Linked DNA regions of Struthio camelus. The main gene of each other region encodes a partner of the protein of the gene in region 2 in a complex. Links are inferred from orthologs where the notes say so. Each region holds a gene or a part of one and is shown on either strand. Other genes may lie near its edges.

What was found.
Region 1: the proteins of FGFR1 (region 2) and KL are in contact, whole or in part, in a cryo-EM structure (PDB 7YSH), measured with the Homo sapiens proteins. The link is inferred for Struthio camelus from reciprocal best matches to the Homo sapiens genes FGFR1 and KL. Residues at the interface, in NP_075598.2 of Homo sapiens: Asn272, Gln288, Leu290, His292, Ile293, Asn296, Gly301, Pro302, Leu305, Pro306, Tyr307, Val308, Gln309, Ile310, Leu311, Lys312, Glu322, Leu326, His327, Leu328, Arg329, Asn330, Glu334, Asp335, Thr340, Leu342, Leu349, His351; in NP_004786.2 of Homo sapiens: Ser539, Gln540, Phe541, Asp543, Leu544, Asn545, Val546, Tyr547, Leu548, Trp549, Asp550, Val551, Lys555, Arg556, Leu557, Val560, Val563, Thr565, Lys566, Arg568, Tyr571, Val573, Ala576, Glu625, Arg628.
Region 3: the proteins of FGFR1 (region 2) and FGF23 are in contact, whole or in part, in a cryo-EM structure (PDB 7YSH), measured with the Homo sapiens proteins. The link is inferred for Struthio camelus from reciprocal best matches to the Homo sapiens genes FGFR1 and FGF23. Residues at the interface, in NP_075598.2 of Homo sapiens: Glu159, Lys160, Glu162, Lys163, Lys164, Leu165, His166, Ala167, Val168, Pro169, Lys172, Gln244, Asp246, Val248, Glu249, Arg250, Ser251, Pro252, Val279, Tyr280, Ser281, Asp282, Pro283, Gln284, Pro285, His286, Ile287, Ala314, Gly315, Val316; in NP_065689.1 of Homo sapiens: Leu31, Leu32, Gly33, Ser34, Trp36, Gly37, Tyr43, Ala45, Thr46, Ala47, Arg48, Asn49, Ser50, His52, His66, Ile75, Arg76, Ser77, Glu78, Asp79, Ala80, Gly81, Val83, Val84, Tyr93, Phe108, His117, Gln118, Thr119, Asn122.

The regions. Positions count from the first base shown.
Region 1 is NC_090942.1:198,396,314-198,403,835, forward strand, and holds the start of KL (klotho), read right to left. Parts: upstream 3,009-7,522; 5' UTR 3,002-3,008; coding exon 2,255-3,001; intron 1-2,254. UniProt on the Homo sapiens protein: May have weak glycosidase activity towards glucuronylated steroids. However, it lacks essential active site Glu residues at positions 239 and 872, suggesting it may be inactive as a glycosidase in vivo.
Region 2 is NC_090968.1:7,231,277-7,239,279, forward strand, and holds the start of FGFR1 (fibroblast growth factor receptor 1), read right to left. Parts: upstream 3,014-8,003; 5' UTR 2,999-3,013; coding exon 2,937-2,998; intron 1-2,936. UniProt on the Homo sapiens protein: Tyrosine-protein kinase that acts as a cell-surface receptor for fibroblast growth factors and plays an essential role in the regulation of embryonic development, cell proliferation, differentiation and migration.
Region 3 is NC_090942.1:84,397,697-84,405,095, forward strand, and holds the start of FGF23 (fibroblast growth factor 23), read right to left. Parts: upstream 3,009-7,399; 5' UTR 2,872-3,008; coding exon 2,649-2,871; intron 1,073-2,648; coding exon 969-1,072; intron 437-968; coding exon 1-436. UniProt on the Homo sapiens protein: Regulator of phosphate homeostasis. Inhibits renal tubular phosphate transport by reducing SLC34A1 levels. Up-regulates EGR1 expression in the presence of KL. Acts directly on the parathyroid to decrease PTH secretion. Regulator of vitamin-D metabolism.

The DNA.
Region 1 (7,522 bases), on a different chromosome or scaffold from region 2:
CCAGCAGAAGAGCTGAATGTATAACTGCCCAAAAATCACATGCCAGGAAGAGGGCACCAACAATTAGTGGATACTTTTGACCTTAATTGCCTCTGTCTTTCGGTTCCTCATTTGTCAAATGTGGAAAAAATGATACCTCCTACCTTACAGAGCTGTGTAAAAAGAAATGATCACTGTTTGTGAAAAAAATGAAATGATAGTCACTAGAAGAAGACTGATTCAGAGATTATGTCACTAAAATAGTTATAGTAGACTTTCCTGGTCTAATTTCTTATACTTTCTATATGCCTTATGAAAGTCTGTGCCTTAGTTTTTCATTTATGAAATTGGAAGAAAGCACTTCCCTTCTTCATAGGACTTTTGTGAGAACAAGAATATGCTTGAGATTAGGAGGCGCTCAGATACTATGGTGATGTGAGATATAAATACTCGGGAAAAACAGCACTGTGGAAAATTCATGGAGAAAATAACCATTACATTTAGTTATCTGTTTTCAGAGCCCTGTATTCAGACCCGAAGCCGCAAACCGAACAACCAGGTGGAGGGGAGAACCACACAGAATATTGAATTGGTACTCATCACTTGTCCATTTTGCACAGCAGAGGAGAGGCTTTAGAAAGAAAATAAAGTGACAGACAACATTAAAAGTCCAAGTCAGCATGCCTATGACTCTCAGAGCTGAAGTAAGAATTGCAAGGTAAGCTTTCTTTTGACAGTCCGAGAGCTCAGATTTGCAGCTTTACTGATTTCTTTTGCATATGATCTATACAAAGTCGGAGAAATAAAACTTCAGCTCCCAAGATTTTGTCACCGATGGCACCGAGTCTACAGCCCTTACCCTTGTGCACAGTCCCACTGATTTCAGAATAACTATGCAAGTATAGCAAATAATTTGTGAGTAACTATTTAGAGATTTTCTGAAAAGTGTAATGATCACTGATAGGCGACAAAGTCTTGCTGCAAAATTTGGGGCTAATACTGCAAATGCTTAAGTTTAGGAGTACCTTCACTCAGAAGCAGATTCAGTTCAGTGAACTGTACAGTCACGGCATCAAACTCAGTCAAGTACATCCTAAGAACTGCTTAAGAGTTTAAAGGTTTCAGCACCAGGAATTTAAGTGCCATCTGAAATGCTACCCCTGTTCAAATTACATCCATGTGTACACCCATGTACACCCCTCTATTTTGTCTTGAAACACTTTTAACACTAAATGATGCAAAGTTAATGCATAAAAGAGGCAAAAGTTGACTAAGCCATGAGTTGGATGTTTTATCAGCGTTCTCATTTCATATACGATACTCACTCAGGAGAACAATACGCTTGCCAGTAAGCATATATTGAGCAAATGAACACTAGCAGAGTTTAGGAATGTGCATTCAGGTAAAATAGATTATTTCTTAAGAGCTGTAACTAAATACCACTCCAGTGAGACATACTGAATCTTTTACTCAGTCAGTGAAAAAGATTTGCACACACTTTTGCTTAATTCTGACAAGTGCTTCCAGCAAACCTTACAAATATACCATATATAAGTAAATTACATAAAAAATACTTATAACAAAAAAGTTATGAGACTTACTAGCCTAGCTGGGGAACACAGGGTTGTTTCCCCCCCAAAAAATGTTCTCTTTGTCCAGAAAAATCCTACTCTGTTAAGAAATATTTTTGGTAAGACGTTTCAGCCACCTCCACCACCTCCGTTAATTCAACCAGACTTTTGTATCAAACACATGAATTCTTTTTACAGTTGTATTTAAAATTTCCACAGCAACTTGAAGCGGAGGCTGGAACCAGCACTGGTCTGAACTCAAACGTCCAGAATCGCATTCACAAATGTCGGGAGACCAAAATTAAACATTTCTGCAGTATACAAAGAACATTTTAATTCGGTGTGTTTGCATTAAGTTGAGGGAACTGCAACTACAAAGTTTGCGCCTCCAATTTATGAGCCTAAGGCGTCTTTAACCCCTTGAAAAGGCTACCCGCTCCAAAGGGGAACAGAATGGATGTTTAATTCTGATGCTCACTTCATATTAATTTGCCTTTTTTTCCCCCCCTTTACTTTAGTGGCTGTCAAAGGCACGGAGCAGCCTGAGGGCAGCTTCCCACAGGCCCAGAGCTGGCACCACCTGAGGGTGCCGCTCTCACCGCCGCCTGGGGGGCAGCACGGCACCTTCCGGAAGGAGGAGAAGAAGGCCCCAAAGATGGTGGGGGAGCCCCTTCCCCCGCCCTCCCACCGCGCCGCCGTTTTACCTGCAGCAGGTGGTGCGCCGCCCTGTAGCCCAGCCGCGGGCCGCCCCGCACGCCCGGCGGCAGCCGCCCCGTGCCGTAGCCGTGCCAGGCCACCACGTAGGGGTTGTCCATGGTGAGCCAGTAACGGACCTGCCCGCCGAAATGCCGGAAGCAGAGCTCGGCGTAGTCGCGGAAGAGCTCGGGCAGCACGGGGCTGGCCCAGCCGCCGTAGGCGTCCTGCAGGCGCTGCGGCAGGTCCCAGTGGTAGAGGGTGACCACGGGCTCCACGCCCAGCTGCCGCAGGTGGCCCAGCAGGCGGCTGTAGTAGGCCAGCCCGGCGGGGTTGAGGGGCGCCGTGCCGTTGGGCAGCAAGCGGGCCCAGGCCAGCGAGAAGCGGTAGTGGGAGACCCCCAGGCGCCTCAACCCCTCGGCGTCGCGGAACAGGTTGTTGTAGCTGTCGCTGGCCACGTCGCCGCCGGCGGGCTGCGGCGGCCGGGCGGCGGGCGGGCGGTGGGCGAAGGTGTCCCAAACGGAGGCGCCTTTGCCGCCCTGGCGCCAACCGCCCTCGGTCTGGTAGGCCGCGCTGCCCACCCCCCAGAGGAAGCCCTCGGGGAAGGTGTCGTGCAGGAAGAGCTGGTCCTCCGGGTAGGGCAGGCGGGCGAAGCGCGCCCAGGTGCCCGCGCCCTGCCCCGGCACCGCCAGCAGCGGGCGGCCCAGCAGCAGCGCCAGCAGCGCCAGCAGCGCGGGCGGCGGCGCGCAGGGGGCCATGCCGGCGGGCGGCGGCGGGGCTCCGCGACGGCGCCTTCCCTCCGCTCAGCCCCCCGCCCCGCTCCCCGCCCCTCCTCACCTTCCCCCCCCGGCCCCCTTTTATCCTCACCTCCGCCCTCCCCCCGCCGGTGGGCACGGCTATTAATGATTACCTCGGAGCTGCCGTCGCCAGCCTGCCCGCCCGGCCAAGGGGGAGCGGGCTCCCGCCTTTGGGGAGCGCCGGCTGCGGGGGCGGGATCGAGGAGGGGCGGGGGGGGAGGCGAGGAGAGCGGAGCGGAGGGCGGCGGCGGGGGGGTTTCCTCGGGGGAAGGAGCAACTTGTCTCCCCTTCGGGGCCGCCTCGGCCACCCGCAGCCCTCTAGGGCGCAGAGCCCGTCAGCCCGCCCCGTCCCGAGGTACCTGCTCGGGCTCTCTCCCCCCCCCCCCGCCCCCGCCACCTCGCCAGCGGCCCCTGAAACGCTCAAAACAGCTTTTTTTTGGCTGAGCCCACCCGATGGCCGGAGCGGCAAGCGCTGCGGCGCCCGGGAGCTGTCCCGCGGCCGGGGCGCCGCCGCCGGGGAGCTGCCCGCGGCACAGAGCGGCGGGCAGGCGGCCGGCCAAAAAATTCCTGGAAAACTTTCCTGGAGGCCCCCCCCCCCCCCCCACCCCACCCCACCCCACCCCGCCGAGCTGCTGCGTGGCTTCATGTATGTGCGGGGTGATCCAAAGCCTGCGGCTGCTGCTTTTTGGATTTTTTTGGTTTTTTTTTTTCCCCATACTCCAGTCTTTCCTTCGTGGTGCCGGGTCGAGGGACGTCGCAGCTGCAATAATAATTTAAAACGTCATGCATTAATAATTAAATAATTGTAGGCATGCAATAATGGTTGAAAACGAAATCATTGACTGGGGACTTCGTACGCTCTCACCCCCCCCCCACACACAATAATTCGTAAGCTGTCACCTCCAACTGACACCGCCTTTTCTTTTCTGGAGTTGCAGGTTGGTATATTTGGTTATTTACTGCATGCAAAACAAATTTCAATTAGAAAGGCCTCGCAGATCCTCATGGGGAGCAGAAAGAAAAAAAAGAAAAAAAGCTGTGTGTTTAAGTTTAATTATTTAGTTATGTCTGTTAACTGCTTGTGTGGATGTGATACGTGAACTTCTTAAAGGCAGGTCTCAGTCTGCTGAGAAGTAAGAATTAGCTTAAAATATTGCAGAAAGTTGGTATTTAATATTCAGTTATGTGAAGCCTAGGATGAGCTGGGGCATCTAAGAATAAAACACACCTACTAGACAGGCCGTTAAGGACAGAGAGATGTTCCCAGGAGATAAAGTTATTGTTTAACTAAAGAATGAAAGCATTAAGATAATTTCATTTTATTTTTAGAAAATAAGTGCCCTCAGAGGAGAACTCCACGTAATTGCTAATAATGAGTGGATGGATTTAAATGCCAATTGCTAGTGGACGCTGAGGTGCTAAAGGTGTTCTCTTGAGCCTAGGATGGGCTCTAACACCTTTCGTAATCACGGCAGAGCACTTTCTTTGCGTCTTTAAAGAAGTTTGAGCTTTCACCTTTTCCACACTAGTTCGATTTGATTTGGGGCTGCTGGGTTGTTTTGTGGTGTTTTTAATGAGGGGACCAAGGATCTGGAGTACCAGATGGTAGTAGTCTTCCATTGTTTCTGATTAATTTATTCCCATGTTAGAGGGATGGAGTTTTAAATTGCCCAGGGGCCCAATAGCATCCTTTTACTAAGGGCACAGCAAGTTTATGGGGTGGGAGCAGGGAAGAGAGCGGCAGATACTGCACCAGAGGCTAATCGTCCGCTGCAAGGAGTGTGTTTGCTCTACAGTCTGACAAGCTGGTGACATTTGATTGCAGTCTAAGTAAAGGATAACTTGAGCTCCAACTGCAGCAACAAAAAAGGTGTTAAAATTGAAATATGGATGCCCTTTCAGGAGGAAATGAGTAGTATCAGATAGGCTACATCAGATGCTCCCCATATTCAGGTGTACCAATCCCCTAGGAAAAATATTAGCACAAGCATATTAGTTGCTCTTCCACAGCAGGTTGAAAATAGAGGTTTGCTAAGAGGTTGTGCATGTACATTTGCTTTTACATTTGCGCACTCTTTTGAAGTATGGCTTGTTGGGTTCTGTTTGTTCTTTCGGAGTCCTAAGTTTGTTCTAAGGATAGCATCACACAGTAGATACTTGCAGAAGCTAGAGATTAAATCTTAAGTACACAACAGGACTGCTCTAGTCCTCCCTATGCAAGGAGTGAAGAGTCAGGCTCCTATTCAGCTACTGACCTGATTCCAGTGGAAGTTTAATGCCTTTGCCTGGGACTTGCTGCCTAAGTATTTTGAAAATCTTGGTGTAGAGGCAGATCTCAGAAACATCTAAGCCTAAAAAAAAAGGCTTTGGAGGTGTCAAATCTATTACTGAGATTTAAGGGGAAAAAAATTTTGATGGGTATCTGGGGACAAAAGACGTTTTAAAATATATCCTGATGCATTCTCTTTTAATTTGCTAATTATTAACTAAAACACAGTTTAATCCTATTTATAGTTAGACCCTTAACTGAAACACGTTCATTAGGATCTCTTTTTCTGCAGAGCCTCTCTACAGCCAAAGGAAAGAAATAGTGTTAGGGTGAGTCAGCCTATGTAAGAACTTAGTCAACTTCTGGAGGTGCCTGCCTTCTCCAAAAACTATACAAGGAACCTACAGTGAGTATGTTCCTGAACTCGGCAGCCCAGTTTTAAGGGGTGAAATCTGGCCATGAGTTGCTGGCACAAAGCTGGCACTTCACCTTTATGTTTATCAGATGAAAACTGGGTCTTAAAGTATAGAAGTCAGAAAAAGTGCACCGCTACCTCCATTTACCTGTTTTTCTCTTTACAGAGAAAGCTTGTTTTCATGTTTCAGAACAACGCAACCACCCTCTGCTCTGGGCCAATATATATTTTTTTCTGGTCTAAGAAACACTGTGCAATATTAACCATGCAGAAAGGTCAGCCAAACACTTGCAGACATGCAGGTTTCTCTGTTTGCTCCTTGAGTTCAAAGCGTGGCTCCATCGTGTCTGCCCTGCTGAGCAAGCACACAACAGCAGCCCAGCCCGGCAGATTTGGATTTGTTATCTTTCAGCTTTCTTTGTATTAGTGATTAGTGAAGGCTCAACTTCTGGTAATATGTATGCTGGATATGGTAAGTGACAGTATAATTTTCAGTCAGCCTATACTCAGAAATTTTCTTTATCAGTTATGCAGCAGCATGCAATCAAATTCAACAATGTTGTGACTGAGCACTTTTGTTTCCTTCCTAAGGAAACAACTTTCGGGGATACTATCTTGGCTGAGGGGCCATGATTACTGATGGCATGCAATTTTAGGTAAAGCAACTGTGTTGATGATTTAGATTCATTTAACACCTTTTCCTGATGTTACGTCATGCATTGGTTTCAATGCAGCAACCCTCCTCCTCATTTTAAGATCTCTGCAGGATAGCGACCTGGCTTATAGTGGTGGCATGTATACTCCTACCTTTGGCAGAGCAAAAGGCCTCGGCACCTGGAACAGCCATTTTCTGTTTTAATACCCATTCTTCGTTTACAAGCAAATTTACAAACATTTACAAGCATAAAGCCAGTTGAAAATAGTCTTGTGTAGTAGATCAGCCCTGGTGAGGCCTCACCTGGAGTACTGTGTCCAATGCTGGGCTCCCCAGTACAAGAGAGACATGGCCCTACTGGAGAGAGTCCAGCGGAGGGCTACAAAGAGCAGCGGGGGGGACTGGAGCGTCTCTCCTGAAGAAAGGCTGCGAGAGCTGGGCCTGTTCAGCCTGGAGAAGAGAAGGCTGAGAGAGGATCTCATCAATGTGTACAAGTATCTGAAGGGAGGGTGTCAAGAGGATGGGGCCAGTCTCTTCTTCGTGGTGCCCAGCAACAGGACAAGAGGCAACGGGCACAAACTGAACCACAGGAAGTTCCATCTGAACAGGAGGAGAAACTTCTTTGCTGTGAGGGTGACTGAGCACTGGCACAGGTTTCCCAGAGAGGTAGTGGAGTCTCCTTCCCTGGAGATATTCAAAACCCGTCTGGATGCGATCCTGGGAAATATGCTCTAGAGGAGCCTGCTTGAGCAGGGAGGTTGGACTAGATGATCTCCAGAGGTCCCTCCAACCTAAACCATTCTGTGATTCTGTGATGTTTTCAGTCAATTAGTTTAATTGATTTAATTAGTGTTCAATCAACTTGTTCGATCACTTGTTCTATATGTATATGTGTATACATATGTATATGTACACGTGTGATATATTTTGTATCAAAGCCTAATCAATACTGCCCTAAGCCAAGTTTTGGGATTTTCCTCACATCCATCATGCAGATACGTCAAACACTATTTTCGTCAGAATCCCACAAATACTAGAATACTAGCACTCTTACTAAATACCATTCTATCTCTGATTTCCCCCTGAGGAAGAGATGGGCATCTTATTGTTCAAAATATTAATCCTCCTGTGATTTCAGGTGTG
Region 2 (8,003 bases):
TGCATTTGCCTTCATCCCCAGAAGCAGAAGGTCTGCAAGGCCTGGGAAGCTGAGGAGAAAGTGGGATTGCCAGGGCTGGATGAGCATCGCAATTCACTCTCCATCGAGCGGCCCCTTCTAGCAGCCAGGGCTTGCAGAGCCAGAGCATCAGGGTAAAACCTGCTGAGGCTGGAGCCAAAACAGCTCCTAGTGCAGTTCACATTTTTAGGCACATAAATAAATAAGGAGCTCCAGTTTGCACCTGAAAGCAACTTGGGCTCCTTCCCAGCACGGCTGGAGCAGCCAGCGCTCCCCATGGCAGGCGCTTTGCACCCAGCAAAGCCCGGTACCGACCCATGCGCGTGCAGGCTGCTTTTGCAACGCAGGGAAGAGCACTGCTCCTGCCTTCACCCCGTCAGGGCAGGGACCATCCTGATTTATTTTAATCCTCCCTGAACAACACAAGGAAAAGGCAATAGTGCATGCCAGCCACCGCAGAGATTAAGGAAGTGCTCATGTGTGGGGAAAATGGCTGCTAGCCAGAGAGGTATGCAGGGTCCGTGCTCCCGGCCCCGCAGCATCGGCAGGGCTCGGCGGGGTCGCTGCATTGCCGCTGCCCGCGCCCCCACGGCTCCCCGCCTCCTCTGCACAAGCGCTCGCGCGCGGCCCCTCACCGCCGAGCGAGTCCCAGGCACAGCACCGCTGCCTCCGCCTGCTCAAGTCTGAAAGCAAATTCCAATTTCACTCGCTTCGGGACCTGGGCAGAAGAACAGCTTCTAAGCCTCTGTGCTTTATTAACACAAGCAGTTCGGTGAACCACACTTCGGTGTTTAAACATTCACCGGAAGGAACTGTGTACCAGTCAGCCGTAGCGCTTCAGACGCTGGGTAGTTATTCAACAATCTAGGCAGAGAAGGAGAAGCGCACCACGACTCCAGTACTTCTCTGTGTAACCTGAACGCATTACAAATGGATACGCAACTCGTGTTTTCAGCTGGGCCGGCTAGTTACATAAGTCAAGCTGCCTCTGATTGGATCTTGCACTCAACTCGGTAAAACAGCAAAAATTACAAATACCACAACCAAAAATGCCATCTGAAACCCAATACAGTCCCGGCTAGTTACGCACATCATCCCAGCAGATAAGACAAATATCGCACACGCCATCAGCCAGCACGCTGTACTCTCTGAGCGTTCGCCATGTATGAACAAGGACGACTCTCAGAGATCCTGGCAAAGAGTTTTGATAAAAGACAATCTCAGAATCTCCTCATCTCCCCATGGGCACCTCACAAACACAAAGGAAATATACAATTTAAGGATATGTTGTTTCCAGCATCTCAATCCCCAGTTACCACCGGAATGCCCCAACATCAGGAGGCTTAAACAAAACAAAACCCAGCAAGTGCCGGCTCCTTACTCATCTTCTTCTGGGAGCCTTGAGGCTCCCGTTTGCGAACTTCTCTTCGCACACAACGGCTAGGCAGCAACTTTGCAAACAAGCCACCGAACGGCAGAGCCAGGTCCGCGCCAGCCCCGCGCCGGGCGGTGGCCTCGGGCCCGGCCGCGCTGCCGGAGCGCCGGCGCCGCGGGGGGCTCCCGGGCCGCGGCCCCCGACGGGCCCCGGGCCGGCGCGTTTCCAACGTGCCGCCCCGCCGCGCTGCGCGGAGCGCCGGCCGCGGAGCCCGACGGACCGGAGCCGCCGGTGCCTGCGAAGCCCCGATGCCTGGAAATCGGAGCCCTCCGCTGCGCTGCGGAGCCCCGATGCCCGCGAACCGGAGCTCCCCCCGGTGCCTGCGAAGCCCCGATGCCTGGAAATCGGAGCCCTCCGGTGCCCGAGGAGCCCCGATGCCTGGAAATCGGAGCTCCCCCGGTGCCCGAGGAGCCCCGATGCCTGGAAATCGGAGCCCCCCCGGTGCCCGAGGAGCCCCGATGCCTGGAAATCGGAGCCCCCCCGGTGCCCGAGGAGCCCCGATGCCTGGAAATCGGAGCCCCCCCGGTGCCCGAGGAGCCCCGATGCCTGGAAATCGGAGCCCTCCGGTGCGCTGCGGAGCCCCGATGCCCGCGAACCGGAGCTCCCCGGTGCCTCCGAAGCCCCGATGCCTGGAAATCGGACCCCCCCGGTGCCCGAGGAGCCCCGATGCCTGGAAATCGGACCCCCCCGGTGCCCGAGGAGCCCCGATGCCTGGAAATCGGAGCCCTCCGGTGCCTGAGGAGCCCCGATGCCCGCGAACCGGAGCCCCCCCGGCGCCCGAGGAGCCCCGATGCCTGGAAATCGGACCCCCCCGGCGCCCGAGGAGCCCCGATGCCTGGAAATCGGAGCCCTCCGGTGCCTGAGGAGCCCCGATGCCCGCGAACCGGAGCCCCCCCGGTGCCCGCGAAGCCCCGATGCCCGCGAGCCGGGGCCGCCGTCGAGCGGCGGGAGGGCGGCGCAGGCGGCGGTACTCACCGGAGCCCCGCGGGGCGGCGGCGGCGCGCTGCCCGCCGCTACCGAACAATGGCGGGTGCCCGGCCGGGGCGAGGGCGCAGCCCCGCCGGCGCCGCGCTCACTGCGGCCGCCCCATGGCGGCGCCGGCCCCAGGCGCTCCCGCCGCCGCCGCCCCGACCCGACCCGACGGGCGCCGCTGCCGCTGCCGCTGCCGCCGCGTCCCCGCCGCCGCCGGACTGAGCCGCTCCCGCACCGCCCCGCCGCCTCCTCCCCGGCTCCTCCTCCGCGCTCCCCTCCGCCGTCCTCCCCAGCCCTCCTCCTCCTCCTCCTCCTCCTCCTCAGCGGCCTGCTGGGGCTTGTAGTCGCCGCCGACCCCCTCGCTCCCCGCCTCCCCTCGACGCCCCCGGGCTGCGCTCCGGCCCGCCCGGCGGCCGCCCCCCGCCGGGCCCCTGCCCGGGGCCTCGGGGCCGCCGCTGGGTTGCGAAGGCTGTTCCCCCCCCCCCCCCAAAACCGTCCAGGTTGCGCATACGAGGTGCTCGGCCCTTCCGCAGCGGGATGCTTCCTTCTGCGCTCGGCCCCTCTCTCGCTCATGGCTGCTGCGCGCCGGGAGAGCGGCGAGCCGGGAGCCCCGCCGTCCGGGGGAGGCAGAGCCGGGAGCAGGGGCAGAGCCCTCGTCCCGCGGCGCCGGCCTCCTGGCAGGGCCTCCGCCGACCAGGCGCCGAGACAGCGGCGCGCTGGCACGCAGGGGCGGCAGCGCGCTGGGGAGCCCAGAGCCCCCAGCCTGGCCCTTCTGCGAAGCCAGGCCTGGGGCACCCACTTTCTGCCAGCAGTTTTCCAAAGGGTTGCCAGACTCAAATCATTCCTGGGAGCCGTCCAGGAACTCCTGCTGCTGGAAAGCCTGCCCCTCCCCTGCTGTGCCCAGCTGGGCAGCTCTCCACTGAGGTCCGGAGCACGAAGACTTGGAAAGCACCCCGAAAGATCCCTGCGTGCTCAGGCAATACATGTGTCGGCTGGTCAGGCCTCCAGCCTTTCTCCCATATGCTGTAGCTGCTGTACCCTCCCCAGGCCCAGGCCCAGGCCCAATCTCTGCGGGTCGGGCGAGCTCCCCCAAAGCCAGGCTCGCGCAGGGTAATGCGGACTGTGACAAGGTTTGGCCTCCGTGCAGGAAGCACAGATAGAGGAGCAAACCCGACTCACATTCAAAGTCAGGGTAGGTCAGGATGAAGACGTCTCCTGGCTGGTAGTGAAAGACCTGCGTGAGGCAATGTGTAAGTGATTAAGTTATAACAGGGAAGAGGACAGACTGAATTAGCCCTGTCAATCACCATAGCTATATTTGAACCAAATGCTGGGCATCTGTCTTCAGGAGCAGCCTCTTGCTGGTTCAGGCAACTGCTCAGATGGCTGTGCCAAGACCTACTGAATATTTTTTTTCTGGGATGACAGATGTGTGGACAGGGGAGAGGGAGGGGAAGGTAACATGCCTACCGGGATGCTCTTGCCCCGGCATGTTGAGCATGGGAAGAGTGTCTAAGAGAGCCGGTGGCATGGGGCAAGAAGAGCTGTTCCCCAGTGCCCCCGTGATGCGCAGCTTGCCCCAGGCGGGCTCCCCGGGCGCCTGCCTGCGGGGCAGCCTGGGCGTCTCTGCGTGCGTGGGTTCCCTCTCGCTGCAGCCCGCGGGGCGGTAGGTGTGCTGGCTGGCAGCATGTTCCTCTCTCTCTGCTTTTTCTCTTTCGCCGGACAGGCGAGCTCTTCCCAGGAGGTGATCGAAGAACGGTGCGGCTACCTGGCAAGGAGGGCAGGCGGAAGCACGGAGGAAGCAGATCTCATTGTCTGGAGAGGGCCAGCCCGGCGAGCTGGAGCACCTTCCTATTTCCAGGCGGGTGAAGCAGGCTCAGCTCCGTTCTGCAGGAGGGACCACCTGCCCCGAGGAGTGAGACCCCCCCCAGCCCCAGCCCTGCTCTCTTCATCCCCCGGACAGCCAGGAACCAACCTGCTTCATGCTTAGCTATAGGGACCGAGGCTGGGGCCAGGTTTGCTGCACGGGGACCTGAGAGAGCTCCGGGCGGCTCCTGCCCCCCCCCAGGGCAGCCATGCCTCCTGCTAAGCTTTTGTCCCAGGCTTAATAACGTCGGCCCTGAAATGGAGCTGATGGATTTGCAGCCATAACATGTCCTTGTGAGGAAAGGGGAAGGGCTCGCACCTCTGCTGCTGCTCTCCTTGGGGATGGCTTTCTGCCTGGCTGCATCGCGGGGGCGGAAGACTGAACTTTGTGGGCCTTTACGGTGCTCGGAGATGGCGGAAAATGAGGACAAGAATCCCCTGCTCCTGGGAGGCTCAAGGGTTCGCTGCCCCCCGGCCTCAGCACTGGGGCTCCGGAGCAGGAGTGACCGCGAGCTGTCACCATCTGGTGGCATACAGACCCCCAGGATGGCCGGGGAGAGGAGCGCTCCCCGGGGCCGGCTCCGTGGGCATCCAGCCCGCCCCGGTCCCCAGGGCCACGCTCTCCCGCACACACCTGCGCGTCGGTGACACGCTTTCGAGGCGACGCAGATGCGATTTTCACATGGAGCCGGGCTTGTTTCACTGCAACTACACTTAATCAAGAACAGGACCAAGATAAACTGAAAGCACATCTGCGCTACGCTGACAGCTGAACAGCTCACCGCGCGCAGGCCGAGCCCCGGCCCAAGCTCGGCTGAGCCCGCGCGCAGCCCGGATGTGCTCGCGGGCTGGCTCTGACGCGGACATCCAAGCGCCAAGCGCTCGTGCAGAGCTTTGTGCTGGTCTAACGATCCCGTTGGCCTCGGGGCCGGGACAGTGCGCTCACACGGACGAGATCTGTCCGGGGCCAGGACGAGGAAGCCGGAGGGGTTGCTGGCGGCTGGCAAGGGTGCTGGTCCCGCAGCCTGCTCGCCCCGGCCTTGCTCCGAGCGGCCCGTCCCCGGCACCTGGCTGTCTCGCTCGCGGTGGCCTGCTCCATGTGCATCGCCGAGCAGCCCAGCCACGGCGGCAGCCGACCGCCCGGGCAGCGGCAGCGGCACTGGTGGTGGGATGTTGCCAATACTGCTTGCACAGCAGTTTCTCCAAGTCTCCAAAACTTTTGCATGAGGGCCCGGGTCTAGGAAGGGGCAGGGTAGCAGCGCGAGCCCAGCCGGCAGCACAAAGGAGCCGTTCCCCCCTGACCTCAACTTGCCCAGTCAAAGATCTGCAGCTCTCCCCTCCTCCCCACTACAAAGGGGCTCTTTTCAGCCCCTAATTCTGCATTTAGAAAACAAAAGCAGATGCATCTAGTTGAGCTTTGTGGAGGGGGAGGCCAGGAGCAAACGCTGAAGAACAAAGAGCTTTCCCTGAAAGATCTGGCTGACAAAGACTTTGTCAGCTCGGGCTGGCCCTGCAAAGGCCGGGGCACATCAGAGTGCAGCGCTGGCTGCTCGCAGGCGGCCGGCTGGCTCGCGGGCTCGAGCCTGCGCCACCCCACAAGCGAAAGGCAGCGCACGCGGCAGGGCACGTGGGAGGCAGCCGGGGCACACGTGCGCGTGGCCCTGCTCTCTGCGGGGCGTGCAGGGTGCACGCGCATCGGCTCCGTGCGTGCGAGCGCCGCGTCCGCAGCGCGTTACCGGGCGCACGTGCGCTGAGCGTGGCTGCGCACGCGGGTAACGGGGCGCTGCAGGAGGGAGCGCGGCTCGGGCAGGACACCAGCCTCAGGACTCCTGATCGGAGCCTCTGCCGGCTGCGGCGTGGCTCGGACGGACAGGCCAGTTCCCGTGCAGCCCTCTTTCCCCATCTCTAAGACACGACTCGTCTCTTCTCTGCTTCCCCCTCCGCCTCCTGGCCAGGCTTTTCAGGACGTTGCTGATGTTCTGCAGAGGCGTCCAGGTGCGTTGTCTGACCTTGGCAAATCACTTCCCATGTGCTAGAACATCTGAGTCACTAGTGGTGACTTCACCCCGCTGTCCCAAGGCTGGAGGAGCTCACAGCAGCCGTTCTCCATGCCGAGAGGAGTCTGTTCTCAGGCAGGGCTTGTGTGAAGCGTCTCAGAGAGAAGTCCAGCCCCTCTCAGCACCCGTGGCTGCCTGGCCAGCCCCGTGCCACCCTGCCAGAGGCCAGCAGGGACACTGCGGAGAGCTCGCCCGGCAGCTTGCAAAACTCCAACTTTCCCAGGGAAATGGGACATGTGAAAATCAGCAAAATGTTAGCTCCCGGGCATGATTTAGAAGCTAAGTAGAGCCTTTTACAGGAAGCCCCCTCTCTCGCCTCTCTGCTCCAACTCCATAAAGTGTTATTAGCGGCTCTGGCTGTAGCTAGAGGTGCTGCCTGTGCTCAGCTGGACTTCGGGCACTGCCGAGCCAGGCTGGATCACACACCCGCAGCCCTTGGCCGCATGTGGCCCCTTTCTGCCCCACGGCGGGATGGGGCCCACCAGGCCTGCCCGGGAGCCCAGCCCAGCTGTGCTGCTGTCCTGGAGCAAAGCCCTGGCATGGGCAGAGCACAAAGCCCTGTCATGGGCAGAGCACCGGCTCCGGTCCTTGGGCTTGCAATACAGCCCGGTGGCTCCCAAGCACTCTCCTTGCTCTGAGGTTTTCTCTGCTATTAGCATCAACCCAAACCTGCTTTTTCCTTCCTTGGTTGCATCTCAAAAGCACCATAATGTCCCCCATCGGCTGCTACTTGGCTGCTTTTCTGATGGTGATGAAGGGAAATCAAACAAGCAGAGCACCATTTCACTTGCAGGGGAGAGGAGCAGCGCCAGGGCCAGGGGTGCTCAGGGCACCTGCGGTCGCAGCAGGGTTTGCCTGCAGACGAAGCGTTCAGGAGACTGAGCAGGACCCGTCCTGAACGAGCGAGCGCCTCCATGGACGCCAAACAGAGACGCCAGTGCAGAGAGGAGGGAGGTGAAGGATGCTCTCCTGCAGGCATTCCCTGGTTCTCCATGGCTTTCTCAGAGCCTTTCAAACCAAAGCCAGGACCTATGTGGCCAGGGTGCACCCCGTCCAGCCGGGGGGGCCTGATCAGATGAGTCTTTGCTGGAAAACCTTGGTTTGGTCCCCGGCAGTGCTGTTGGGACCACGGACACTGCAGGCTCTGGTGTCTTTCTGAGTGGTGGCTGGAGGAGACCTGGGCTGAAATGGGGAATGAGACGCTGCTGAGACAATCCATGGGGACCAGCCTGGCTGGTTTGCAGAGGGGTGCTGGCATGCAAAGCCAGGCTCTTGCTCCCTCTCCCACTCTTAACCTCTTTTATTCAATGGCTGTTGTCTTCTCCATTTTTTTAAAGCCTCAGCTGACTTTTAAGCTCTCAAGCTGACTTGTCACAGGTGACCATGTAGGCACCTGGTGTCCAAGGCCAGGCTCGCTCCCTTCCTTGCGCCAGCAGCTCTGCCTGGCTCGCCCGGGCGGGCTGTCCCAGGGTCCTGCCGGCCAGCAGGAAGAGCCTCAGCACCTTGTCCCCCCAGAGCTTTCCCTGCCACCTCCGGTGCCCGCAGGCAAGCCACCGTCCTCCTGCCGCTCCTGCGCGAAGGCGCCGAGCCGGCTGAGCAGAAGTCTTGGCAGGGAGGCGCTGGCTGCACCGACATCCTGCCTCGCCTCCGAAGGG
Region 3 (7,399 bases), on a different chromosome or scaffold from region 2:
ATCTTGTAATATAGAAGCGAGGGCTCACATGCCTCCTGGCATCCATCATAGCGTGTGGGTCATCTGGGTTGACCACATCATTCTGATTGATTCTCATGGGTTCTCTGGGCACGTGGGAAAAGTCTGCTTGCAGCTGCAGCTGGGATCCTAATGCGGAGACCTTTCTCTGGGGCACCAGGATCTGGTGAGGATCCATTGGATCGACATCTGCACTTCTAGTGTTTCTGTGGGGCTCAGGTGTGTTGAATCGGAATAAAGGAATTTCATTTCTCCTGGACAGGAACTGGGAATATGGTGGTGGATTCATACCAGGGAAGAAAGCTTGTTTAACTCTGCCTAAGCTAACCAGGAAGTTGTATTTAGGAGACTGGTACACATCGTATCCATTTTCCAGGGTTCTGTGTTTGAACACGCAGTCTTCTTGGCTGAAGTAATGCTTAAGGAAAAAAATGACAGCTGTGAGCAGAGAGATTTGGTGATTAAAGAGTGCCAATTAAAAACAGAAAGAAGAATGAGATCTTGCAGCAGGTATCTTTCTGATCCCCTAGCTCTGCAGTAACAACTGAGACAAGGCTTAGTAAACTGTAGACTAATATATATGCCCATATTTACAGCAAAGGTATTTTTGGGCTAACACTGCTTTATCTGAGAGGATTGTATTGTCTGAGCTATTTCCAAGCCACGACTATAGACTACAGCAAGAATTCAGGTTGATCCACCATTAGATTTCATTCTGGCCTCATTTAGCCCAGCAGGACTTGCACGACTTCTGTCAGCTCTATGATTCAATACGATTGACAAGAAGAGGAAAGTTTAACCTACGTGTCAGGTTCTCAGCTGGCTTAAATCTGCCTCCTCCGTCACTGCCTCTGGCTACAGAGATTTGTCCTAGCTGAGGAAATTGGCCCTATGGTAAGAACAGCAGGCTGCAGCTGCCTCAGTCTTGAGTCTTAGCAAAGGTCACTCACCGATCCAAAAATGTTTCCTTTCATGTCCATGCATAGGTAGCGTCCACTCTTCACTCCAGTGATTATTACATAGCTAGCACCCTCGGATTTGATCATTAGAGCACCTATTTAGAAAAACAAAGATATCAAATCCAGGACACAGTTCTGCACTGGATTGTTGCCTCACCGATCCACAAAAGTGCTGACTGGAAGGGCCATCCCGGGGGTCTTTGGGCCACCATTCCACTCAAATGTGGACAAATGTGCTGTTGGCTCACATTTGGCTTGGTGCCCCTGTAACCCTCAGGACCTGTCCAGCAGGGCTCTGTCTGTGCAGTGAGGCTGCTCCAGCCTGTACCACCACCAGGGGTTATTTCAGCCCTGGTGCAGAACTTTGCACTTCTCATGTGTCTGGTGTCTCAGCAGGACTGTGGTGACCTGGTTCAGTTATTTTGCTTTCACAGCCCCTTTCCTTGTCTTATCTCACACTTTCTGCTCTACCATTTCAACTACCTGTACACTTGCTTCATGACAGATTGGCAAAGCATGGTATTTTGTTGGCTGTGATTCTCTACACCATCACACTGGTTCTTGACCAACACGACTGAATTTTTTAGACCCTACTAATATATTTGAAGAATAATAACAAGAGGATGCAGCCTTTCTACAAGTGTTTTATCCATAATTCATAAAAAAATAGCAGAACTTGATCATTTTTTCTCCTTAATTAAATTATAACCTTTTTAAAAGTCTTTTGTTCCTCATACACTCATACACAGGTATCTCTGGATATGCTTATATTTTTAGTTGAGTAGTTGAAGAAGATGCTACACAGTAGTAATAATTAAAATTACTTTCTGATTTATTGTTACTTGTGATCATTTTTCTACTAGTTATGGTGTTTGGGCTAGGTATGCAACAAAGAAAGGAGGATACCCCAGTTTTCCAAGAAAATAGATGAGGATGAGACAATTTGGGAGCCACACCTGCACTCCGAAGGCTTAGCACTTCATTTATGAGAGTCTGACATTTTGCGGTTTCTCCCAGTTTAATCAACCTTTGCATATTCAGTGAGCCACGTTCTATGCACAGTTGTGTTTCTACCAGGCAGTACATTAAAGGCACAAATCTGAAGCTTGTCTCACAAACTAATTTTCGATTCAGAGAAGTATTGGTGTACTCAAAAGGAAATGACCAACTGTACTGATGTAGTTGCCTACAGATATTTTTCAGCTCTCTACCCAAAAGTAAAGGTTTTATGGACAAAACCAGTTTTCCAGCACTTGTGTGGTGAGTTCACTCAGTATACTTCTTTTGCAGATGTTATCAATGGAATAAGAAGGAGATACTTGGGACATGTCATCACCAATCTCTCATTGGAACTTCCACAAGAAGCTGTGGGTAAAATCATGAAGTGAAGGATAATTTTGGTAGTTTTTGCTTGCAGAGTATCACAGGAATCACATAACTTACTGTAAAGGTGAAGAATCAGAATTCCTATCTGCTAGATTTCTTTGAAGCAATTTTGTTTATTTGTTAAACAAAAGGAATATTACAATTATGTGTATTTTCCATCTCGCAGCTGTCTGCCTGCCAACCAGGAGGATGGAAATTGCTATAGCTAGTAAGAAGGCAAAAAAAGACCATTGTCCTCTCTTCCCTGCTCAAATGAAGACCGGGGGTCCATAATGAGCTACTTACTGTAAATGGTTTGGTGCGGGACACCGTCAACGTAGCCATCAGCGTTGATTTGGAGGTGGAAGCTGTTCCTCTCCGTAGCTGTGTACAGGTGCATCAGGCGATCTGCACTCCCCCAGCTGGGATTCAGCAGTGGAGAGGAGTTGGGAAAGGCAGCGGTAGCCTTCAGGCTGCAGAGCACCAGCAGCATGCACCCTAAGCAGCTGTAGGGAACGGCCTGTGGCATGGCTCTCTGTCCTTAGTGGCTAGTCTGTACCTGAAACTTGATACTCCTCTTTGCTTCTCTCTTTCCCTGGTTTGACTGCGTTTGGAGTATGAATCCTCAGATGGGCTCCTTTCTTCTTTGCAGAGGCTTATAAAGGGTAGCCAAGTGACATCACACAGGAAAAACTTCTCCACATCCTTGATTTTTGTCAAAGCAACATTTTAAGTGGCCCGAAACCTCAAGGGAAGGAAAGCACGTAGGTTCTCTGGCTAAGGTGTGGGGGGGGAGCAAATGTAAGGTTTCTAAAGACAGCTCACAAAAGCTAATCATATGTTCAAATGTTATCTACAAGCCTGTGACATCTGAGAGCTTCCCACGCCCCTACTGTTAAATCCAGGAAGAGCAGTCTACTGTGCTACATAGAAAGCCTTTTGGGAGGGGAAGGGAACGAACCTTTAGACTTTGAACTTTTTCTCAGATATGTTTGTTCAGATTCCCACCTTCCCCTTGGTTTTCCAAACCACATTCTAATTTCACAGAAGCACCAAATACTGCTAAAATTTTTGAAGATGTGTCAGAAGCTGGTATTAGGTTAATCTGGGCCTGATTCCCCATTCATAGTGATGTAAATCCAGCAGTGAGCCTGTTGGACCGAAATTTATGTCACCTCCTTTAAGCAAGAGAAGCTTGATATGAGCGCAGCCCTCTTGAAATAAGCTCTCCCTTTTATTTCTTCTGATATCTTGAGTTACCTAAATAATTTGAAGTTGGCCAGTCAGCTGAAAATTACCTGTAAGATGCTTAGAAGCTGCATATTTGTTGCTGTACTGTAAGTCTAGGTGGCAATCATGTAAGGAGTCATATATGTTAGCATGGCTAGTAGATCTAGGACCCACATCAAAACAGAAATAGCTCATCTTGGCACATTTTTTTACTTGAGGTATAGCAAGCACACTTGGAAGAACTACAAAAGAACATGACCAAACTGAAAAGTAATAACTGCAAAGCAATGTTCAAAAATGGCTTAAGATATGATACCCACATTTTAGTTGTCCTGCCGAATTCTGTGGTTTTACAAATTTCCCAATTAAAAAAATGCTTCCATTTTCATTATGAAAATGCTGTATTAATGGGAGAGTGGTTATGTAGGTGAAATGATGATGATGATGATGATGATGACGACAACGGGTTATGAAACTAGGCTTTACTAAAGTTTCTTTCAAAAATGAATATAAAACTGAAGAGAATACTGAAAACTAAGTCAATCACTTTTTTAAAAAAAATAAATTTGAGGTTTTTGTTTGTAGCAGTCTTAGGTCCAGTACTTTCAAGCAATATACAAATAAGTTAGTCTCTAGTTGGACACAAGGTGTCAGATTCTCAGTTTCCTTAGTGAGCTGTGGAGCAGTGCCACGAGCACCATGCATATTACAGATTTTTACAACTGTATTCAACTGCAAAAGCTGATCTGATTTTTTTTTATCGTTTAAAATTAGCAAAACTCTGCCAATTTCTTCTGACATCTGTGTAAATCTAAAGGCTTACGTCAGTGTGTATACACCTGTGTAAATGACAGCAATTTTATGCAAAGTGCACTGGGGTCATATCTTAAATGGAGTAGATTAACAAAGTTGACTTCACTGAGAGGCAATTAAGGCTACAAATGTTTTACTGGGTGTAACATCTGAATGTCTTAATTTAAAAGCTAGTTTGGAAGGAAAGGATGAATATTATTTCTTTTCTTTTCTAAGTGATGTATCTACCTTAGTACTGAAATTATTCATTCATTTTTTTCAGTCTGGTATTAGAATCCAAGGATTTCTAAAATTTTTTTGGTCTTTTACTCCCTTTCATTCAGACTAGTGTGGAAATATGGATGGGGATACCTCAGAAGCAGTTGCAAAAGTTTCCACAAGAGAGTCATATACAGGATAGATTGTCTTCTTGGAAGTTTTTGTGATCTTTTTGTAAGTGGAGTTTTTCTGGTGTGATATTTCATATTCATCATGATTTTTGTCTGTGCTTACCTTTATGCGCTGATCTGATTTCTCTCTGGTGTCTTAGCTGCAGAGAAACAGTTCTCATGTTTCTGAAAAATGTATTCAATCATCTCGGCACATGCCAGTTGTGACCAGCCATTTCTCTTTTTTTATATATGGCAGACAAGCAGACTATTTTCAGGTGCTTAAATTGTTTGGCATTTTCAAGTTTCTCATGGGGTCAGTAGCACTCCAGGCTTTGCTGAGTTGTGTTTGTTTAAGCTGACAGGCTAAAGCAAATTTATTTAAGTTTCTGCTTGTCAGGATGGTAATTCAAATTTTGCCTTTTAATGCACATTTTTACTTTAATTCTATATGCAAATTGGTGATGCTTTTTTAACAGTCCATTTCGTTTTTGTTCCCGGTTGATCCATTTATTCCTTCTGTGGGTATGCCACTTAACTTCTCCTACCCATTCAGCTGTTGCTGAAGTAACCAAGCAGATGAAAGCTTGCTTACTTGTTCAGCTCTCTAAGTTAGCCTAATGAAAGCGATTAAAACCTTATTCCTCTTATATCCTTATGCTGTTGCATCAGTAGCAATAATATTTTCATAACTTTTACCATATATGTTGATATTTCTTTTTTGTCTATACTGTTTTCAGATGTTTGACCAATCAAGACAGCTTTTCTAGGTGTCTCCTGTACCTAAAGAATTAGGTGCAGCATCTTGTAGAGGGAAAAAAAAAAAACTGAATTTGAAGACCAAAAATGTCTAATCAACCTCAGAATTGCTATTCTTCTTTAAATACATCCTTAATTCAAATAAATAATTCAGGGAAGCAGGTTGGTCCCTGCTATGTGGAGCCTCTTGAGCAGACAGGAGGCAAGGTGAGTGCCATGAGGACAGCAGCTGAAATACACATGGATCTTGAGGCATGCTGGTGGAAAAGGGAAGGACTGCTGTGTCCTTTAGCAAGGGAGACCGAATACAGACCTTTCTGCCATCAGGGTGGCCACATTTCCCTCTTCCCACCTCAGAAACATGGCACAGCTGGGGTCGGGTGACACAGGACACAGGACTCTGCAGGACTACCTGCAAAGGTAGCGGTAATCACTGACAGCCCAAAGGCAGCACTGAGGGTGGATGCTGTCACCAGCAATGAACAATAAGGAAAGTCTCCCTTAACCGCATTGCTGAAGAGGAAGGGATGGATCAGACCACTTTGCAGTTGAAATGTATGTGAGAAAACGATTGATGCTCTGCACCTTCCCAGGCTGTTTCCCTCCTCCCCTGCCGGGCCATCACCCCTTACCTGCTCCTACCGACTCTGTCCTCTTTGCTTTGGAGGTAGCAGAGGTCTGGCAGGGTTGGTGGATCTGGGAGCTGGGCATCAGTGGTGATAGGCTCATGCCTCATCACTGGGGCCTACCACGTGGGCTGCAAGTGCTAATCCAGAGCACACAATGACCAGCGGACACAAAATACCAAGTATCTATAAGTGAACATAATCATTTTCTGTGTCCAATGAGACAAATATGTGGTGGGAAGTTTTGTAATTTAATTAAATATGAACATTTAACTAAAAATTATACCCAGAACTATACACAAGGGAACTGAGTTAAGGTAACAGGAGCCTGAGCTCTGAATTCCCACATTTTGAGCACTTTGCATTTCAGCCTCAGGTCATTTTTGATCATAACTTATGATTTCAAATCTGTCAAACCCTGAGCTTGGCAGCTGCTCACCTTCCCTTGTGCAACTGCTAACAAGATAACTCCCTTCTTTCGTTGCTTATCACTTCAGTCAGCTACAGGGGACTTACAGGGCAAGTGCAAACTTTTTGAACACGTATAAGTTACTACAAGAAATTCACTCTTACTTACCTTTTGCAGGCTCTTTAAAAGTGCTTTATGCACCATCAAAAATTTGCAGGTTAAAAAATGAGTTTCCTGCTTAGTATAATGAGGTTACTTTCCAGGTCCTCTTATGAATAAAAATACGTGTCTCCTCACAGTGTTTGACTACCTTTCAACATGTAGACACACGTGTAGGGTTGTTGCTTAATAAAGCATGCTGACCTATATTTAAACAGGTGTGTGGCTTGTCATTTTGCAGAACCCTGTTCTGGCTGAGGGCAGGGAGATGTTCACCAGTCTGTCCCCGGGGCTGGCAGCCATGTGAGGATGGGGAAGAATTGCCCCTTCTGTTCCCAGGTAGCTGGGATGACCCTCAGAAAGCCTTCTGCTTTTTGCTATTTCAAAGATCGCAAGGGAATTTGGCTTGACAAATCTGAAACTGCCTCTTTTTTTCACGCTTTTCTCTGCACTGCATCTCTTCTAAGAGGTCAGAGATTCAGGGACACTTCTCCCTTCTTCCCTCCTCCTTAAAATCACTATAATGACTCTGGGACAATCACATCTTCGATGTTGGAAGTACAAGGGTGGAGTGCCTCTCTAGTAGTTATTCTTGGAATAATGACACACCAGGACAGCGGTGTGTACTGTGGATGCCCTGTGTGCATGTGTGTGCATGAACCTTTGCCACAGACTTTACCCAGTGTTGTTAAA